2 linked regions of the Struthio camelus genome follow. The protein of the gene in region 2 purifies or fractionates together with the protein of the main gene of each other region. This does not show direct contact. Links are inferred from orthologs where the notes say so. Each region holds a gene or a part of one and is shown on either strand. Other genes may lie near its edges.

The links.
Region 1: the proteins of CCT4 (region 2) and TLE2 purify together in Homo sapiens (affinity purification with mass spectrometry; 3 studies listed by BioGRID and IntAct, with this or other methods). This does not show direct contact. The link is inferred for Struthio camelus from reciprocal best matches to the Homo sapiens genes CCT4 and TLE2.

Annotation. Positions count from the first base shown.
Region 1 is NC_090967.1:7,794,631-7,803,473, forward strand, and holds the start of TLE2 (transducin-like enhancer protein 2), read right to left. Parts: upstream 3,627-8,843; 5' UTR 3,519-3,626; coding exon 3,495-3,518; intron 3,411-3,494; coding exon 3,313-3,410; intron 2,644-3,312; coding exon 2,580-2,643; intron 2,343-2,579; exon of another isoform or gene 2,328-2,342; coding exon of another isoform or gene 2,297-2,327; intron 1,663-2,296; coding exon of another isoform or gene 1,592-1,662; intron 1,136-1,591; coding exon 1,091-1,135; intron 1-1,090.
Region 2 is NC_090944.1:131,134,907-131,144,355, reverse strand, and holds the start of CCT4 (T-complex protein 1 subunit delta), read right to left. Parts: upstream 3,734-9,449; 5' UTR 3,294-3,733; coding exon 3,176-3,293; intron 2,436-3,175; coding exon 2,383-2,435; intron 2,084-2,382; coding exon 1,994-2,083; intron 1,078-1,993; coding exon 969-1,077; intron 1-968. UniProt on the Homo sapiens protein: Component of the chaperonin-containing T-complex (TRiC), a molecular chaperone complex that assists the folding of actin, tubulin and other proteins upon ATP hydrolysis.

The sequences.
Region 1 (8,843 bases), on a different chromosome or scaffold from region 2:
CTCGCCAGCCAAGGGATTGGCTGCTCCGAGGTGTTTTTTCATCTCAGGTTTCTACAATCTCTGACAGCATTGCAGAGAGGTCAAACCGTACACAAAGGCGGCAAAGAACAAAGGGGACGGACGTCTACCTGGCTGTGGGAGTCATGCAGCTCCCTGCCCGGGGCGGGGGGCAGCGCAGCCTGCACCCGCCTGCCCCGTCCCCCCAAACACCCTGTCACCCCCCAGACACCCCGTCCCCCCCGATCCAGCCTGCTGCTGCTTGGCCGCGACTCCCGACTCCCACCCGGGAGGGGCAGATCCGGTCCGGGTGACCTCGTAGTGCCCGCAGCCACCAGCAGGACCCAGGCGTGCCGGGCCCGAGCCCCCCACCCGTCTCCAACCCCTCAGCCATCCGCCTCCCTGCCGCCCTGCGGGGAGAGCCCCCGGGTCCCGGGCGGCTCCCCTGGATCCCAGTCCCACCAGAGTTCGGAGCACGTGGGGACAGCAGGAACGTGCTGGAGGGCTCTACAGCCCTCCCTGCCAACAAAAGGAGCAAACTCGGAGGGGCTGAGCCAGCTGGAGGAATATGGCAGTTGACTTGCCACTTTGTCAGGCATTGGTCCAAACTAATTTCACTGGCAGAGAGCCCGTGATGACTAGATTGATAAATCTGAAGAGGGAAAGCAAATTAACGCTGGAACAAAAGGGGAACTGGGGAAGGGTGAAAACACTCCTCTGGCTTCAGGAAAGGAAAAGGGGATTAAAAAAAAAAAAAAGAAAGAAAAGAAAGGCAATCCATTTGCCTCCGGGCTCCAGTTCCTGCTGTCTCCTCCACACTCCCTCCGGCGTCTGGGGCCCCAGGGAACCATTGCTGGCAGGTATGCACACAGGGACTGCAGGATGCAAGGCCAGACTTCGAGAGGTGCTTTGGGATCACTGGGAGGAGGTTCCGCCCAAGGTATCTACCAGAGCTCAGTACCACATGTCCTGACAACTGCTCAAGCCCTTTGCAAGGTAGTCCCTCACCCACAGCTGCGCTAGCTCTCCCATGCCACTAACAGGGACACAGAGACAAGGGAGATTGAGCTGGGGTCTGTTGGAAAACACTCACCTGCTTGTGCATTTCAATGTTCAGCCCGTAGGACATTTCATAATACTGAAAGGAAATCACAGGGCAGCTTGGTTAGCATTTGCCCTGAGCAATCAGCCCATTTCAGCCAGGGGTTTAACATCCAGTCCATCTCTGCTTCCCCTGTCAAACTTCCTCTAGCATAACCCTGCTGCTGCGGTCCCTGCTCTGGCCAGCCCCAGGGTCCAGGGAAAGAGCTGAGCGAAAGCGATGGGCTGACGCCCGCCCAAACTCATCACACCGTGAGTTCCAACCAACGCCTGGGACGAGCTGGGGGTGCCGCCGAGGTGCAGACTGAGGATTATACCCTAGATTCTGCATTAGCATAGACCAGTGTGTAGGTCAGACCGGAGGCAAGGAAAGGGGGTCCTATCCTGGCCTGTCCCTTCCTGCTCCTAACCCAGATCGACTCCCTGATGCAGCTTCCCATCTAGTCACACGGGCTGTCATGCCCGTGCAAAGAAAAAGATGACGTAAGGTTACCTCTTTCACCAGCTGAAGCCAATTGCGACTCTGGCAGTGGTGACAGCCAGCAGACTTCTGTCCCACCTCCCCTGAGGCCGGGGAGAAGGCGGGCAGTGAGTTCAAAGCTGCCCCTGGGGCCAGAGGACCTGCTTTCCTCCAGCAAAGCCCATCTCAGACACAGCAACCCACCTCCAGGAGTCCCCGAGGTGGCGAGAGGTGGGAGAGGCTCCCAGCTGATGGGGTGGCACTAACACATCCTGCCATGCTGATAAATCCTGATACCCCCGGCCTCAGGAATAGGGCAGCCATCACCCAGGGGATGGGGTTGCCCAGGTTTAGGTCTGTTTGTTGTTGGGAGGGGGGATAATTTGTGTCTCCCCCTTCCCCTGGAGGGGCCGGTAATGTCAGATGCAGAAGGAGAGGTAATGTTACTCCAGTTCTCCAATTCTCATTTTCCTAGCTTCCGGCCAGCAGTGCCACCCCTCCTCCTGCCCCAAGCTGCCCAGCAAGAGGCCTGGCACGCACCGGTGGGCTGGCCACTGCAGAGGGGTCCTGCCCTGCTCTTTTTAAAGGCAGTTTCCCCTCCCATCCAAAACACCAAAACATCAGCCTCGGGGTATCACTTCCAAGACATCCCCTCTTGGCAGAGAGACAGGGAGGAGACCTTTATCTTTAAGAGGCCAAACAGAAAAAGGGAAAAAAAGAAAATAAAAGAGAAGAAACCTATGGCATGATTCCTGGGCTCAGACAGCATCAAGCACGGCAGCAGACATCAGCAGAAGAGCCAGCCCGTTGCTAGGAATACAGATTAACTCCTTCCTAACTCACGCCCCCAGCCCCAGGACAACCTCGTAGGCCAGAGATCCGCTTAGCGGCAGTGGCCCGCAGAAGTCCGCGTCTCAGCTGGGCGAGCAACTGAGAGGAGCTCCGGCCCCGGGCCCTCGCCAGGAGGGCTGGGGGTCGAGGACACTTTGGGGGCGTGGAGGACAGCAGAGGGGGGACTTACCATGACATAATGTCTCTGCATCTCGGTCTTCTCACTCACCAGCTTCTCGCATTCCAGCTTCAGGCTGCAAAGAGGATCCCTGGTTTTCATTCACGGACCCACCTCCCCTGCCCTGTCCCCCTGTGTCCACCCCCACCCCAGGTCTCAGAAAGCTTGGCTCTTCTACCTTTCTCTCCCCCGACTCCATCTCTGCCCCCAGAGTTTCATGGCACCACAAGGGTGTCACGCACCCATCGCTGACTGCTGCTGCTGTCCTGGTCCTCGGTGCCTCCGGAGGGACCTGGACCCGTGGGGCTGGCTGCGCCGTGTGCTGCCCATGCAGCCCCTGCTCCCCTCGGGACTGCTCCATCTCAGCCCACCCCTTGCTCCATCTCCGCGGCACGGGTCCATCTCCCCTCCACGCTTCCCTACGCCCGGCTTGGCACAAGCCTTGGGGCCCCCTCAGGACCTGGCACCCCAATTCCCAGCCTCAGTCTGCCCCTCAGTCTAGACCCCTCTCCCTGCGCACCCCGATCACCCCTTCACCAGGACCCCTCTTCCATCCTCTCCTGCCCCTAATGCTCCCCTCAGTCCGGCCCCCATTGTCCTCCTTTGCCCGGACCTTCCTTTCCCCCCACCCTGAGCCCCCACTTCACAGCACAGCCCGGCCCCCAGCCCCTCCTGCCCCGCTCCTGCCCTCCGGCCAAACAAGGACCCCTCGTCCAGGCCCTGCCGCTGCCCGGCCCCCCCTCACCTGTGATACTGAGCCTGCAGGAACTGAAATTCCTCCTTGATGCGGTCGCAGATCTCCAAAACCGAGAACTTGAAGGGCTGCCCGGCCGGGAGAGGAGCCTGGGGAGAGAGGGCGCCCGGGCCGGCTGGTGAAGGCTGCCGCGGCCCCCCGAGCCCCCCGGGCCGCCGGTCGCGGGTACTCACAGGGTGCCGCCCCTGCGGGAACATCCTGCGGGCCCGGCCCCCGCCCGCCCCTCTCCGGGCCGCCCGCTGCCGCCCCCGGTCCCCGGTCGGAGCTCGGGCCGGGCTGACGGGGCCGGGCCGGGGGTCGGGGCCGGGCCGGGGGTCGGGGGCTGGGCTGGGGGCCGGGCCGGGGGTCGGGGTCGGGCCGGGGGTCGGGGCCGGTCCGGGGGTCGGGCCGGGGGTCGGGGCCGGTCCGGGGGTCGGGGCCGGGGGTCGGGCCGGGGGTCGGGGGCCGGGGGTCGGGGCCGGGCCGGGGGTCGGGGGTCGGGGGCCGGTCCGGGGGTCGGGGCCGGGGGTCGGGGCCGGGCCGGGGGTCGGGGCCGGTCCGGGGGCCGGGGGTCGGGGGCCGGTCCGGGGGTCGGGGGCCGGTCCGGGGGTCGGGGCTCGGGGGTCGGGGCCGGGCCGGGGGTCGGGGCTCGGCTGGGATCAGGCCGGGGGCAGCCCGTCGCCGCCGGGCAGCCGGGCGGGGGACGCCTCCCCCCGACGGCAGCGGGGTCTCTGCGGGCTGCCCATGGGGCCGGGGCGGCGGGCGGGCGGCGGGAAGAGGCCGGCGCGCGAGCGGGCCGGCACCGAGCAGCGTCCCCGGCCGGGGCGACCGCCGCCTCCCGGCGCAGCCCCCGGCGCCGCTTAAGGTGGCGCGTTCCCGCAGCAGGCGGCGGGGGGCTGCCGCGGCCCGGCGCACCGCGCCCCCGCCGGAACGGGCACCGGCACCGGGACGGGCACCGGCATCGGCAGCGGGGACTGGGACCGGCACCGGGACGGGCAGCGGGACCGCGACGAGACCGGGCACCTGGGCGGGCAGGGCAGCAGGGACCTGGACGGGCAGCGGGACCAAACCGGGCGCCCGAGGGACGGGGGCGGGGGGCAGCACGGGGCCGCGCCGCCGCCGCACAGCGACTCCCGGGGCCGCTGCCCCTCCCCGGCCCCGCAGCAGCCACCCCGAGACCGGGGCCGGGACCGGGGCGCCCCCCGCCATGGCGCCCCCGATCCACCTTAAACCGCGGCCGCGGGAGCCGCGCCTGCCATTGGCGGCCGCCTCGGGGGCCGCCGGCCAATCGCCGCGCGTCGCCCCCACATGGGTCCCTGACGTCACCGCGCGCTGAGGCTAATCAGAAGCAGCGGGGCGGGGCACCGCGGGGCACGCTGGGAGCTGTAGTCCACGCTCCGCCGCGCCGCCTGCGGCCGCTCCCGCCCGCGGCAGCCCGGGGCGGCGGCGCCCTCCCGGTCGGGCGGGGGCGGGGGCGGCCGGAGCCGCCGGGCGGGAGCGGCCCCGGCCCCGGCCCCGGCCCCGGCCCCGGCGCGGGCGGACTGCGCCGCCCACAAGGCCTTGCGGGCGGCCGCCGGCTGCCACTCAAAGTAACGTGGGCCGCGGCCCGGCCCGGCGGCGGGGGCGCCCCCGCGCGGCCCCCGGCCCCGGGGGGGGGGGGGCGAGTCCCAAAACCGCGCGGAATCCCCCCGAGAGGGCAGACGAGTCCCCGGGGAGGGGGGATGTCGAGGCGCGGCGCCCCGGGACCGGCGGCCGCGGACAGGCCACCGGTGTTTCCGATTTGGGGCAAAACGCCCCAAAATCTTCCTCTTCTCGGGGCGGGGGGGAGGGAGGGAGGAAATCAGAGGGGGAAATCCAGCACCGCAGCGGGAGGAGAAAGCAGACCCCAAACCCCAACGCGCTCCGGGTTTCGCCGGCAAGAGGTTCTGGGCTGATTTCACCCGCTTTGGGTGTTTCCCGGCCCTCGGAGGAGCTGCGATTAGGGAAGCGGCTGCCGGAGGCCCGCGGACGCCCGGGCCCGACCACGGCCGCTCTCGGGCCGCCGGGCTCCGGCCGCCCTTGGCTCGGCCCCAGGCCGCGACGCCGCCAGCCGGCTGCGGCCGCTGCCGCCAGTATCTTGGGGATCGTTGTCCGATTAAAGCTGGGCTTCGCCTCGCGCTCGGGGCTGGAAGCAGGGAGGCGCCGGCCCTGCCGGACGCAGCCGGAGCCTGGGCCCGCGAGGGTCCCCGCCTGCCCGGCCGCCGGCCCGCTTCCCCTTTGCGGACACCCAAAAGGGCCGGCCGCCCGTCCTGTCCCGTCCCCAGGCCCCCCGCCACGCACCGGCGGTGGCAGCAGAGCGAGGACTATCCTTAAATATTGCAAGAACCAGCTGTACCTGGGCACCGTGCAGGCAGGCACGAGGTTAAATATTTCATGCCTCACATTTCGTCCTAATCTTTTATTAATTGTGCTATTTCCTCGCCGCGTGCCGTGCCGGCGGTGGCTGGGCTGGGGGCAAGGCGGGGGGCACCCCTGGGCTCCCGCCCGGCGCCCCGCAGCCTCCCGGGGCGCAGGAGCGATGAGGGCGCAGATGTGCCCCGCGGCGCAGGACCCGAGGGGTGACGGGCCTGGCCTGACCCACTTCACGGGAGGGAGGGACTCGGCCTGAGAAGACGTTTTGGAGCGTTTTCAAAGCTTCTTGCCCAAAACGGCCCGTTTTCCACAGGCAGGGGTGACACGGGTGACCCTGAAGGAGGCAGCTCCCTCTGCTCCCGCGCTAAAACACCCGCCCGACCGCGGGAGCAGGGAGCGGGTGCGATGCCCTCCCCCGTCCAGCGCCTCCCCTGCCTCCTCGAGTCGGGAGCCCTGGGGCCGGCGGCGCCCGCCGGAGGCAGCGCCAACCTCCCGGCACGTTTCTGCCAGCAGCTGGCACGAGCTGGGGCCTTGTGCTGGCTGGAGCCCGCGCTGGAGCCGACAAGCTGAGAGGGGAAAGTGAGGGAGGGGACTGGCCGAAATCAGGGGTCCCCTCGCTGTGCCGGGGCGCTGCTGCCCCGGCGTGCCGGGCCGGGCGCCCGCACCCCCCGCTGCGTCCCTGCCGCGCCAGGGACACCTTGTCACCCCCTGGCTGCGGGACCCGTGGGAACCCACGCAAAGGAGGTCTGGGAGCCCTTAAAGCAACCCAGCAGCTGACACTCGTCTCTGGCGCTGCCTTCGATCTGTATGTTGGCTCCTGTTTGCACTTACCGGCTTTGAGTGGTTTTTAATTATTGATGCCTCTTTTAGCTTTTATCTCGCGTTGGCTGCAGCCGGGAAGGGCTTGGCGCTCCTGCATTAGTGATGAACTGGGAGGAGGCGCTGCCACCCGCAGGGCTGCTCGCCTGGTGGGCGAGGGGGCAGGAGCCGGGAGGGAGCCGGGCGGCCGGTCCCGCTGCTGCCGCGGGGCTGCGGGATCTGCCCGAGGGAAGGAGCCGGGGGCGACGGGCGGAGGGGCAGGAAGGTGTGGAAACCTGCGCGACCCCGTGAAAAGCTGGCGCCTGCTCGCCCCGCCACGGAGGAAAGATGACATTTTCCTGCGTCTAGTGACGGGCAGGTGGGAGGGGGAGAGATGTGGGACGGCGGAGCTTCGCCAAGTCCCTGGACGCTGCAAGCAGGAATCGATGCCAAGCCGCGGTTGAGAGGCGGCGCTGCCGCGGTGGGGGCATGGCACTGCCGCAGCCAGGCCCCGCGCGCCGGGCCCGCTCTCCGTCCCTCGCAGCCGGAGCTCTTCAGACGGCGGCTGTCGCGAGGCTGCTCCTTGCCCCCGAACAGCCCGGCGTTTGCAGAGCTCGTCCGAGCATCCCCGTGCCGGGAGCTGCTTCCCAGCCACCTGCCAGCGTCCCGCACTCGTGCCACGGCCTCTCGTGCACAACGACAAGTCGTTTCGCTGCTGGGAACGAGCCTCAAACCATCCTTAACCAGCTGGGCGGGGGAAGCCCCAGGCCGGAGCTCGCTGGGCCAGGAGAGGCTGCAGGGCAGGGCAGCCCGCCTGCAGCAGGGACGCTGCTTCCCTGGGCCTGAGGCTACCCTGGCAGTCCCCGCAGAGGCACTTTTGAGCCTTTTCTGCTGCTGCCATGGGGAGAGAGAGAAACCAGCCCACTTCGAGAGTGGATCGTCTCCCAAAAGCAGGAACAGAGCGCAAGATTCAGCTCAGCGTTCACTGGGGGCCACAGGGGACCTGACAGCCCAAAGGCTCTTTCCTAGCATGTTAACGCAGGTTGGAGTCCCGCAGCGCGGGGGGGCATACCCCCGGCTCAGGCAGGGACGGCTCCCACCCCTCTCCCTGTGAGCCGGGAGTGCTCGGCCGGCAGCCTGGTGGTCTGTTCGACCCCCAGCCCACCGCCGAGCCGCCAGCCTGAAAGCACCCCAGACCGACTTCGCCTCAGTCCTCCTCCCTCGCGCGTCCATCAGAACTAGCATCCACTTACGGCGCTCCCTACCTCAGGCTGGATTTGAACCCGTGACCTCGAGGTGAAAGCGCTGGGAGAGCGCCAGCCCTCGCCGCAGCCAGCGCGCTCCCGGCGGGGTTTCCAGCTGCGCTCACGGAGCAGAGATGGTTTTAGCAACTGTTGTATCGCAGCAGTCCCCGGCCCGAAGCGGAGTTGGCCTTTCGCAGGAGAAACCTGCTCGCTCAGCCCCAGCGAGGCCCTCGGAGCAGCTGCAAGACCAAGGGGTCGGGCTGCCGCCGGCGGCAGGGCTGCACCCAGCTCCCGACCCAGAGGAAGCAGCTCCAGAGGTTGCCCTGCACCCTCCGGGGGACGGAGCAAGCGGGGACCCGTCTGCCCCACGCACCTGCCCCTCGGCAGTGAGGTTGAGGTCAGGCCAGCTCGTGCCACACATGGAGCTCTGCTCCTGCCTGGGGCGAGCAGCCAGAGGGAAACCTCCACGCGCTGGAACCCTTCCTGCCACAGCTGAGTGGCTACCATGACCCGCTGCTGCTCCGCGAGCCGCCACGGCTGTGTCCGGAGCGCCCAGACGCTGCACAGAGGGTCCAGTGTGGCCGAGACCACCGACTCTGCAGAGGCGGCACCCAGGTGCTGCTTTCAAAGACCACCCCCAGACCCGTGACCCCCCAGCGACCTCCCAGCCCCAAACAAACCTCTGCCAGGCCCCAGGCATCCCTCCCCAGTTCATGTTGGCAAGGCGTTAGCGCGCAGGTAACGAGAGCGTTGTCCAGACTTCGCACCGTCCGCCGGCTCTGTAACCCATCCAGGGCCACGGCATGGCTGTGCCAACCCCAGGGGGGCTCCCAGGGAAGGGGGACACGGGACAGAGCCGCACTCCAGTCCCTCCATCCCCTCTTTGCAGCAAGCCAATCCACGCCAGAAGAAACCCCTCCAAAAGCAGCTTTGGGGAGAGCTGCAGCCACGTGAGCCCCGGTGAGTGTGCGTGCAGCACCACGCACCTTTTCTCAAGCCTCTCACATCTTGTATCTGCCCCAGCAGATACAGTCCCAGTCCAAAGTGCCCATCACTCCCTGGAGCCAGGCCTTAGTGCTAGGTTTGAGTTAGTGTAGCAAATCCCATCCT
Region 2 (9,449 bases):
TCAAGTCAGTACTGGGCCCCCCAAAAAGGAATAATGGACAGGGTTTTAATACAAACACATCCCCCCTAAACGGTTAAGAAGTGTCAAATAATACACTGGAGATATTCAAAACCCGTCTGGATGTGATCCTGGGCAATATGCTTGAGCAGGGAGGTTGGACTAGATGACCTCCAGAGGTCCCTTCCGACCTCAACCATTCTGTGATTCTGTGAAACAAGTCAACATTTTGCTTTGTAAGTGTAAGTTGGGTTACTGTTTAATGGCTTTACAGATATACGGCATTTAGATATGCAGGACCTGTGTGCTTCCTTCTGCATCGTTTCTTGACCAGAAAGCCTATCCTCTAAACTTCTGATAGGACAATTTCTACTTCACAAAAAGTACTAGGGGTTTTCACGATAGAGGTAAGTGCTTCTAATCAAGCCAATTCATAGTGCAACAACTGTAACCACTACTTCTAATTCCCATATGTACGACAGGTTGTTTCTGGCGATTCCTGAGCTAATAGAGCACAGCCTACAGTAACGTTTGCTGTCCACAAGTTCACGTCTTTTCCTGACTGGACTTTCTCAAGGACCCTACTCTGTGAGTGACAGGAAGTGACAAACCTGCTGAAAGTAGACTAACTGTACTCACCAGCTCCCAGTTTCATTTACACCTTTTTGAGCTACGTCTCGGTTCACGAGAGAAATACAAGTATAATCTAGGTGTTTTTTTACAAGGCAACATTCGCCATATCACCTAGACGCTATTTCCTGTATCAAAAGTAAAGTGGTCACTACTCAAAATATAAAAAATGTCACTGTTTAACTAACCGGGACACTGGTGAAATCTGAATATGAAGACCTGAGTTACTTTCCGTGTTCAGACTGGAAACATTTAATTTAAGCTTCATTAAACACGTGCAACGAAATATAGGATATAAATAAAAACATGACTAGAGATAGTTAAGAAAAACATACACCGACCTTTCTGAAGAAGTCTGGAACAGGCATCCAAAAGAGCTCCAGCAATGACAACAACAGATGTAGTGCCATCACCAGCTTCAATATCTTGTGCTTTTGACAGCTCTACCAACTACGCAACAAATTATAACAAAAGGTTATAGTGACAATTACAGAGAAAAACATTCAAGAATGCAGTGCGACTGAGACCAACCTTACTATCAGGACCAATCCTGCCTTTCCTAATTTGAAATTTGTACCTTTTGCAACTCACTTATCACACTTTTCACACGTTTGGCAGAAGTACAACTGATGTAAATCAAACCACCTACAGAAGTCAATAAGTGTCTCCGCCAAGCTTTGAGCTGATCACACCTACTGAACAGGTCCAGCTTTTCCTTTAGCAGAATCACAGGTATCTCATTTCCCTCTCCAACCACAATTCACATCTAGGAGGCCTACATTTAAGCTCTCAAAAGGCCAGGCTGCTGTTTCTTGCACACGCATTCACTCTAGCGCACGTGGTCAGACACAAACTGGCTACAAAGCTGGTCTGTTATGAAAGACTTTTCCCCCTTACCCCCCAAACTCAGATCAAATTAATATCCTTATTAATTATCCTGACTATTGAGCACGGCTGGGGTGGTGGGGGCTGGGACAGGGAAGAGAACGTGACACGAAGGACATTCTATTCTATTCTGTTCTAGGGCATCCTAGGACCGCCTGACCATAACGTCATTCACTCTCTTTAAATCTTCTGCATTCTGCTGGTTTAGGCCATCACTGACTTTTCTTTCTTAGCCGAGAGAAGGTTATCAGGCTAGATTCTTTTATGTCTTAAAACATATCCAGAAGGGATTACGCACATGCACACAGGATAAGAAATAGAGTCTTGGAACTCTGAGCAGACCTTATAATCAGGGTAAACAGTCTTGAAACATGCTAAGCAAAGCCTGTTGCTCAAATTCACATGAAACGTTCGAATATTTTCTGTCCTGGAAACGAAGCTCTAACATGTAACCTTGTCCAAGCTATGGAAAAATATTTACCATCTTGGCTGCAGGGTGCAAAACCTGCATTTGTTTCAGAATAGTAGCACCATCATTAGTGATTGTCACATCTCCTTTAGCATCCTGAATCTAGGAAGGAGGAAGAAAAACACAGTTCTGATTAGTAATTACAAATCTGGAAGCTGAGTTGATGCGCTAAACGCAAGGGATTTTCCTGTCGACATTACTTCTGAAACAGATGTGCATACAATTTACATTTTAGAAGTTCCTTTATGTAAGGGAGATTGGGTCACAAAAATCAAAGTATTCTATTTTTCATGCTTGAGAAAGAAAATTCAAAGCAAGAAAAGTTGTCTTACGCCAAATATGTTCACATTACAGTGTGTCCAGTAAGTTTAACGTTTTCAAAATTTCAGCATAAGGCTTACCATTTTATCCATTCCCTTTGGTCCAAGACTTGTTCTAATTGCATCAGCGACAGCTAGAAGAGAAGAAATACATTTGCAAGTTGATCTAAAAAACTACAAGCACTCCATCACTCTAAATATTTCTTCCATAGAGAAGTCGTCCCCCAGTATTAAACGGCCCGCACAGCAAAATTATACGAGACGTTGTAGCTTCAGGATACAGATTTCCATAGCTGGAATTTTACATCAGTTAGCATCCAATCACTTCATTAGACCCATTTTAAAACTAAAGGGAAATGCTTTGTGCCAAGTAACACGACCAGGGTTTGTATCAAATGCCAAATTTAGCTTCCCTCAACAGGCACTTGTCCTACCACCATGAGCCTGTTACCATTAAAAAAATAACCACAAGAACATCTCCCACTGATATACAACGGAGCACGTAACATCCAGGGAGACAACGGCTGGCTGCCAGCACCGGCACTGAGAGAAGCGACCACGGCAAACCTACGCCTTTTCAACGCTGAAAACAACGGAAAGGCGTTGCCCTCCGCACGCTGCCTCCCTCCTTTCCCCCCACCCCAGCCGAAAGGCTGCACAGCAAGGAACGAGTCTCCCCGCGCACGAACGACCGGCGAGGCAGCGAGCCCGCCCCGCCCTCCCCCCCGCAAGGCAGGGGCGAACAACGCCAAGGCGGCTGCCCGGGGCAAGGCACCCCCGCTCCTCCGGCCGGGAACGGGCGGCGGCGGCCCAGGCAGGGCGGAAGCCCCCCCGCCTGCCTCCGAGCTCGGGGCCGCCCCCCGCCGCGCCTCACCTTTGCCGGCGGAGATGTTGCTGAAGCGGATCTGGGAGGGCTTGTCCCGGTCCTGGTAGGTGCCTTTGGCCCGGTTCCCGGCGCCGCCGTGGGCCTTGGCCCCCGCGTTCTCCGGCATCGTCGCCGCCGATAGACACGGACGGGCCTCGCGCTACCGGCCGCCGATGGACACGAACAGAGCCCGCGCTACCGGCCGCCCCGGCGCCGATGGACACGGATGGGCCCCGCGCTACCGGCCGCCTCGCCGCGAACCTTCCAGAACGCGCCGCCGCCACCGCCGCCAGCAGGGCGCGCCCGGGGTCCTTGCGGCCGGCGCGCCGCGTGACGTCACGCCGGGGCGGCCGCCTGCGCGCCTGCGCCTGGGTCGCGGGGAAAGGAAACACACGCCCGCCGGCGAGCCGCTCGGACACCTAAAGGGGCACCATCGGCGGCTGAAGCAGCTTCTAGCAGGGACCGCTCGGGGTCCTGCGGGGCCGCGCGGGACGTTTCCCGCCCGGCGGAGCTGCACGGAGCTCGCTGCCGACGGGCGGGGCTGGAGGGCGGGCCACGTGGTGCCGCTCCGCCAATGGCGCGGCTCGCGCCGCGCCGCGCCCCGCCCCGCCCGGGCGGCCTCCCTCGGCGGGCGCCCTGAGGGGGGGAGCGTGAGGCGCCGGCGGGGAGGGGTAACGGCTGCCGGAGACCCTCGGTTGGGGGCGGGGGGGGGGGATTGAGAAGTAAGGAGATATATGGATTTTATGTACTAAGAAACTAGTGAAAAGGATCCCGCTGGCAAAGCAGTTTGAGCTCTGTCTGTGAAGGGTGAGGTTATGTCCGGGGTTGACTTGAGGCAGCGATGGCCGAAAGAAGGGCGAGGGGAGCTCAAACCGAGGGACTTCATGTAGGAAAAGATGCTGAGGGAGAAAGTGCCCCAGCGAGAAGTAATCGATGTGCTGGACGTCTTTGTGAAGAACAAAAGTGGTTTAAAAACGTCAGGCTCGTCCGCTCACCCTCCCTGTCGGAGAGTGAGTTCTCTCTGTCGTATTTTAGTAGAGCTCAGTGAATCGAGCAAACAACATCGCCCCGCTTTGACCGCTTTGACCGGTCAGGGTGTCATTTTCCAGAACGCTGAAGGATAAGTGCAGCATCATTTGAACGTTTTTCTTAACAGAAGCACGTTCACAGTGACTCTAGCAGTTTCCTGGGCTCCTTCATTTAGAAGAACCAGAAGTTTGACCCAGACGGAAGGAGCGGTTCAGTTCTGTCGGACAAGACCTGCTGGCTGCGGCTTTTTTTTGTGTTCATTCTGAATGCTAAAATAATTTGCCTAATAAAGACGATGGCAAGAAGTGTACTCTTTCCCATAGTGTCCCAATATTGTCCATTTACAGCTGTTTGGCCACAGCAGGTTGTATGAAACTTGGAGAATATCATTGATGTTTTACTGCTGGAAGGGCTCCCAGCAGCACTTCTGTTTTCTTGGGGAGCCCCTTCCCTGAGAACATCTGGGGTTACAAGCAGAGATTATTTTCCTAGCGCTGTGACTGTTAACTCATCAAGTCGGTCTTGTCACTGCACAGCTTTTGTGAAATTTGCAGGTGCAGCTATATTATAAACATTTGCTAATGTATTTTTGCTTTAGAAAAATTTCCTCTGGCGGACAGCCTCTCCAAAGCCATTGATTTCAGTGCTATATGATAAGTCAATAGCCATGGATGTTAGGGTAGCTGTAACTCTTTTTCCTTTGTGGTCTATCCCACTATTTCATGGGTCCAGCCTTTGGCTTTTATTGGTCTCAGCATGGCATCTTGCAATTTCTTTCCTGTTAAGACAGAGACCTGCTATGCTCTCAGCTGTTTTGATTACATTTTGAGCACCTGTGTTTTCCCTTTTGCAGAACTTACTACCCCGGGAGATTGACCGGCATCCTCCTTAAAGATCAGCAAAAAGGATTTTCAGCAGCAGCTTTATCACAGGTGACATTAGACTTGAATTACAGGGAAGAACAAAAACAACGTATGTTCTTCTGTCGTGCCCTCGTCATCCTATGTGCCTGAGGGACTCTAGCTCAGCTTGTAACATCACCTTAAAAAGGTATGCTTTCTATCAATAAAAATCATGAGAGTTGGAAGATAGCTTATATTTAACTGTTAAGTTGGTCTTGCTTAGATACTATCTAGGTATAAGAAGCATTTGTGCTCTTGTCTTTCTCAGAATTTCTGAATATATATTTGGAATTATTTTCGCCACCTTGAACAGAATATAAGCTTCAAAAGGTTTGAATGCAAAGCACATACTTGAATCTGCAAAGTAAATTAATTTTAGACTGTGTTCAAAATAAGAAACAAATGTGTGTGTGCTTACTAATAATTTCTGAGGGGGAAAAAAAACAAGATACATCTGGAAATCTTTGTAAGAAAACAACCTGCGGTCTTTGAATGACCCAGTATATTATTATTAGTGTTATAGCAGCTCAAAAGAGCTTTGGCTGAAATGAGAATGCTCAAGTAATGTCTTAAAACATGGATTTTTTTATGGCCTATCTCTTCCAGGCTGGATGCGAGGAGTTAAGATTTATGGTATGGCAGCGCCAATAAAGTGCTCATACATAGAGGAAATTACACAACAAGAAACGTATCCCTGCGCCGGTGAAGTGCGCATAATGTAGACAATGCGTTGTAAGAAACAGGCAATGGACGTGAGCTCCTGAGCTTGCTTTCTGTTTCCAAGTATCTACATCTATATCAAGAGCTCATTGCACGTGAAACCTGTTATCATGGTGAGCAATTTTCTAGTGCTAACAACAGTTTTTTATGTTGATCAGCGAAGAGAAAACATTTTGACAGTCCTGTTGTCATCCAAAAAATATGAAAAAAGGCTCCACAGTCACATTACCTTATCACCCGCTTAACCATTTTTAACAGTTGCTTTTGAATTTTCTCACTTATTCCATATTACATGTGTTGGTTTATTTTTTGTACTGTGTTCTTGGCAATTACTGCCAACGTAAAGATAACAGCAAGTATGCTCCTTCTCCAGCAAATGCGCTGAGCAGTTTGTAAAGGCAGCAACATCCTGGTTTCCCTGGTCACGCTGAGTGGATTTATCCGCCGTTGTAATGAGAATGAATGCTCTTTGTCAGAGACAGTATGTGGAGAGAAGATTTGGGAAGTGAGTAATTTTTGCTTTTTTATGTTCCATTTACAACAGGCAGATAAGACAAGTTTTAAGTTTAAAGATAAGCTGATGCATATATCCAGGCCGAGAGCCGTGGACTGGGGACCTTTTCTGGTAACAGTCTTAATCTGGATTTGTATTAAAAATCATCAAAAGTACATCCTAAATGACCAAGACCATAGGGATCTCTAACCCTGCTCTTAGAATACAGGAAGCATTGATGGCAACAGTACTAAATCCTAGACGTGTAACGCTAATGTAATGTCAAAGCTAGAATCTGGGCTGTTTGTTACTCAGTGCAGAGTCCGGTTTTTTAAAGACCTATTGTAGTATGCTTAGAGTTTCTGAAGCTGGCCACTTCCTTGTAGCGCCGTGGCCTCACATTTGGGATCATTTAGAGTTTGTTGTGGTACTGTTCTTAGTTTCTCCTGCATATAAGGGTCAGTATAGCTATACTCAAGGGTACTGTGTTCATGTTGGGAGTGGAAGATGTTGCCTCTGTGATACTAGACTGGGATCTGGGTTTGGTTATGTCACAGAGTGTTCCAATGGACCTCGTTTGCTGGCAGAAAAAATAGATAGTTTTGAAGATAGATTTTTGTGCTATTACCATAAGTGAGCACATTACATAAGTGAACACTTATGGTGTTGGGTCTGGCAGAGATTGCTATTCCAGGATTAGATTTGCACTAAGGTTAGGAGCAAGGTTTAGGCTTTCCTGGATTTTGAAGGAAATAATAGTTAGAGCTGATGCTGTAAGAGCCGCCACATAGCTCTGTGTTTGGCAGAAACAACCCCTCTGCTGTTAAGAATAATTTGAGGATAGGGTTTGTTCCGTTACTGGGTGGAGAGCCTGGATTTTTAATAGGTATATGACAAGTTGCTGAGCTAAGTTTAGGGCTGCTATGGTTAGTGGCTACCTTCTTACTAATAATTTTGGTCTGGCAGGGTTGCCTCTTTAGAGCTGAGGCTGGGTTTCAGTGCAGTTAGGATTAAGGTTTTTGTAAGTATTAGTCTATGAGATTAGGTTTGTGCTGGATTTAAAAGGAGTGGTCTGGCTAGCTTAAAGGTTGTTGTCATCTGCTGTCTCCTTTATGCGCCTAATTCTGTCTACTAGAAATTCCTTGCCTCGGATTGCATGGCAAGAAATTCCTTGCAGGGTTTAAGGGGTTGTGGTGGGCTATGACACATAATGTGTTTTGCATTGTGTTTTATTGCTTGTTTTGTCTGCTAGTTTTAATTTAGTTGCGCAGGTATGTAAGAGGTCTTTCAAGCTGCTGAGTTTTGTTTAAGGCAATTGTGACTAGTTTTTCAGCTTCATTCCACAGGGAGATTTCCCCCCCCCCCCCTTTTTACTAGTGCATAGTTAGGGGCAGCATTATGGTTAGGCTTCCTGCTCTGATGTCATGTTGGCCTGAATGCCAGTTGTTAATGTTGCTCCAGATTTAGAGTTGTGGATAGAAATTTCTCTGGCTGTTCTTGGTGTTCCTTGTGGGAGAGGTTATCTGAGCAGGCTTAGTGTTAGGCTTATTATTAGACTTCATGTTAGAGTGAAGGTTAGGGGTTTCAGATGGCGTGGACTGGTGAACAGGCTCAGCTGAAGAGGGTGTGGGGATCCAGTGGGCTAGGTTTAGGATGTTTGTATTTAGGGACATCAGATTGTTCTGCAATCTGCATACAAGAAGCAGTTGGTGCGCAGGGAAGAGGAGGAGCAGAATTACCTTTATGTCCATCAGTGGCACAATGTTTCTGTGGCTTTCAAAGTTGTGTTTTGCTCAGGCAGAGGCAATGAACAGTATCAATGTTTTTTTAACCAGCTCCTCTGCTGCTTGCGATTCTGGGCAGATCGCTTCACTTGTCTGTCTCTTGATTTTCTTGCCCAACTATTTCTAGTCTGGTGTAGTTAGATAATGCAGTCTTTTACTACCTGTATGTACGGTGTCTCTTATAAAATAGAGTCCTAATGTCAGGCAGACCTTGCTAGTTCTACTGCAGTAAGATTGATAACCTTCACCGCATAAATAACATCAGTGAATTGTATAGGTGTGATTATGGCAAAATGTGGTTTGTAGAAATATTTCCATCTCTGTTCTTTTTACAAGGTGAAAAATACCTGGGATGTATATCTTTCGTAGTTAACTGTGCTGCTTTATATCAGGTTGGGTATGAACTTTAATCGCACATACAGTCTTTCTTCTTTTTTTCCTGAAGATAATTTGCCTGGAATTCTCAGGGGAGTAGTAATGACAGTATAGTGAATTATTAGCTCTTGTCACCATTATTTAATCACTTTCTGATAAGAGTGAGTAGGTTCTAAACATTTAATACATTTAATAGCAGTCTTCTTCAAATACTCCCCAGTGCAAAATATTTTACACAGCAAGTAGATTATACTTATCCAAAGAAGAATAGAGTCGGTACCTAGTGATCACTGTAGAAATGGAAATGTGATTTTTTTTTTTTTTCCTTCTGACTTGAGTTTCTCCCTGGGGTTTTAGCTATTGGTGTCTCAAGTGTTTTTCTTGGTACTTTGGTTAAACCCCTCCCGGTGGGGCTGCCGGCCCTTTGGTTTGGCTTCATGGCAGCTGTAGCTGCATCTGTGCTGCCACCTAGTGGAGAAGGCGTTGAACAACTGATACAGATTTTTAGGGATTTTTCTTTGCTCCTTTTGTTTTCTTTTGTTTTGCTTTGATTCTCTCCTGTTCGGAGTATATCCAAGGTACTGTGTATTGCGAACACTTTTTGTCCCTTTTCTGACAGTCCCTCCCTTTTCTGTTAGTCTTTTCTGAGACTTTTTTCCCCTTATTTTCCTTTTTAAAAAAAATCTCTGAGAGCCATGGTAAGCAGATGAAAAGGGTAATCACCTGTTTAAGGAGACTGCAAAAATAAGGACATACACTGCGGTGGTGTGTTGGAAAATACAAAAAGTGACAAGCAAGTGTTGTCTTCTCCGCGTGTGCTAGTAGGTAATGTTATTCACCACTGAAGTACGACGATTCTGTAGCAGTACAAAATATGATATTGCACTGTGGTTTGGAAGAGAAGAAAAATACCATATTTAATAGAAACAGACAGAAACATATAGGAGCTGACCAAATGCAATTCATGGTGGTGATATTCA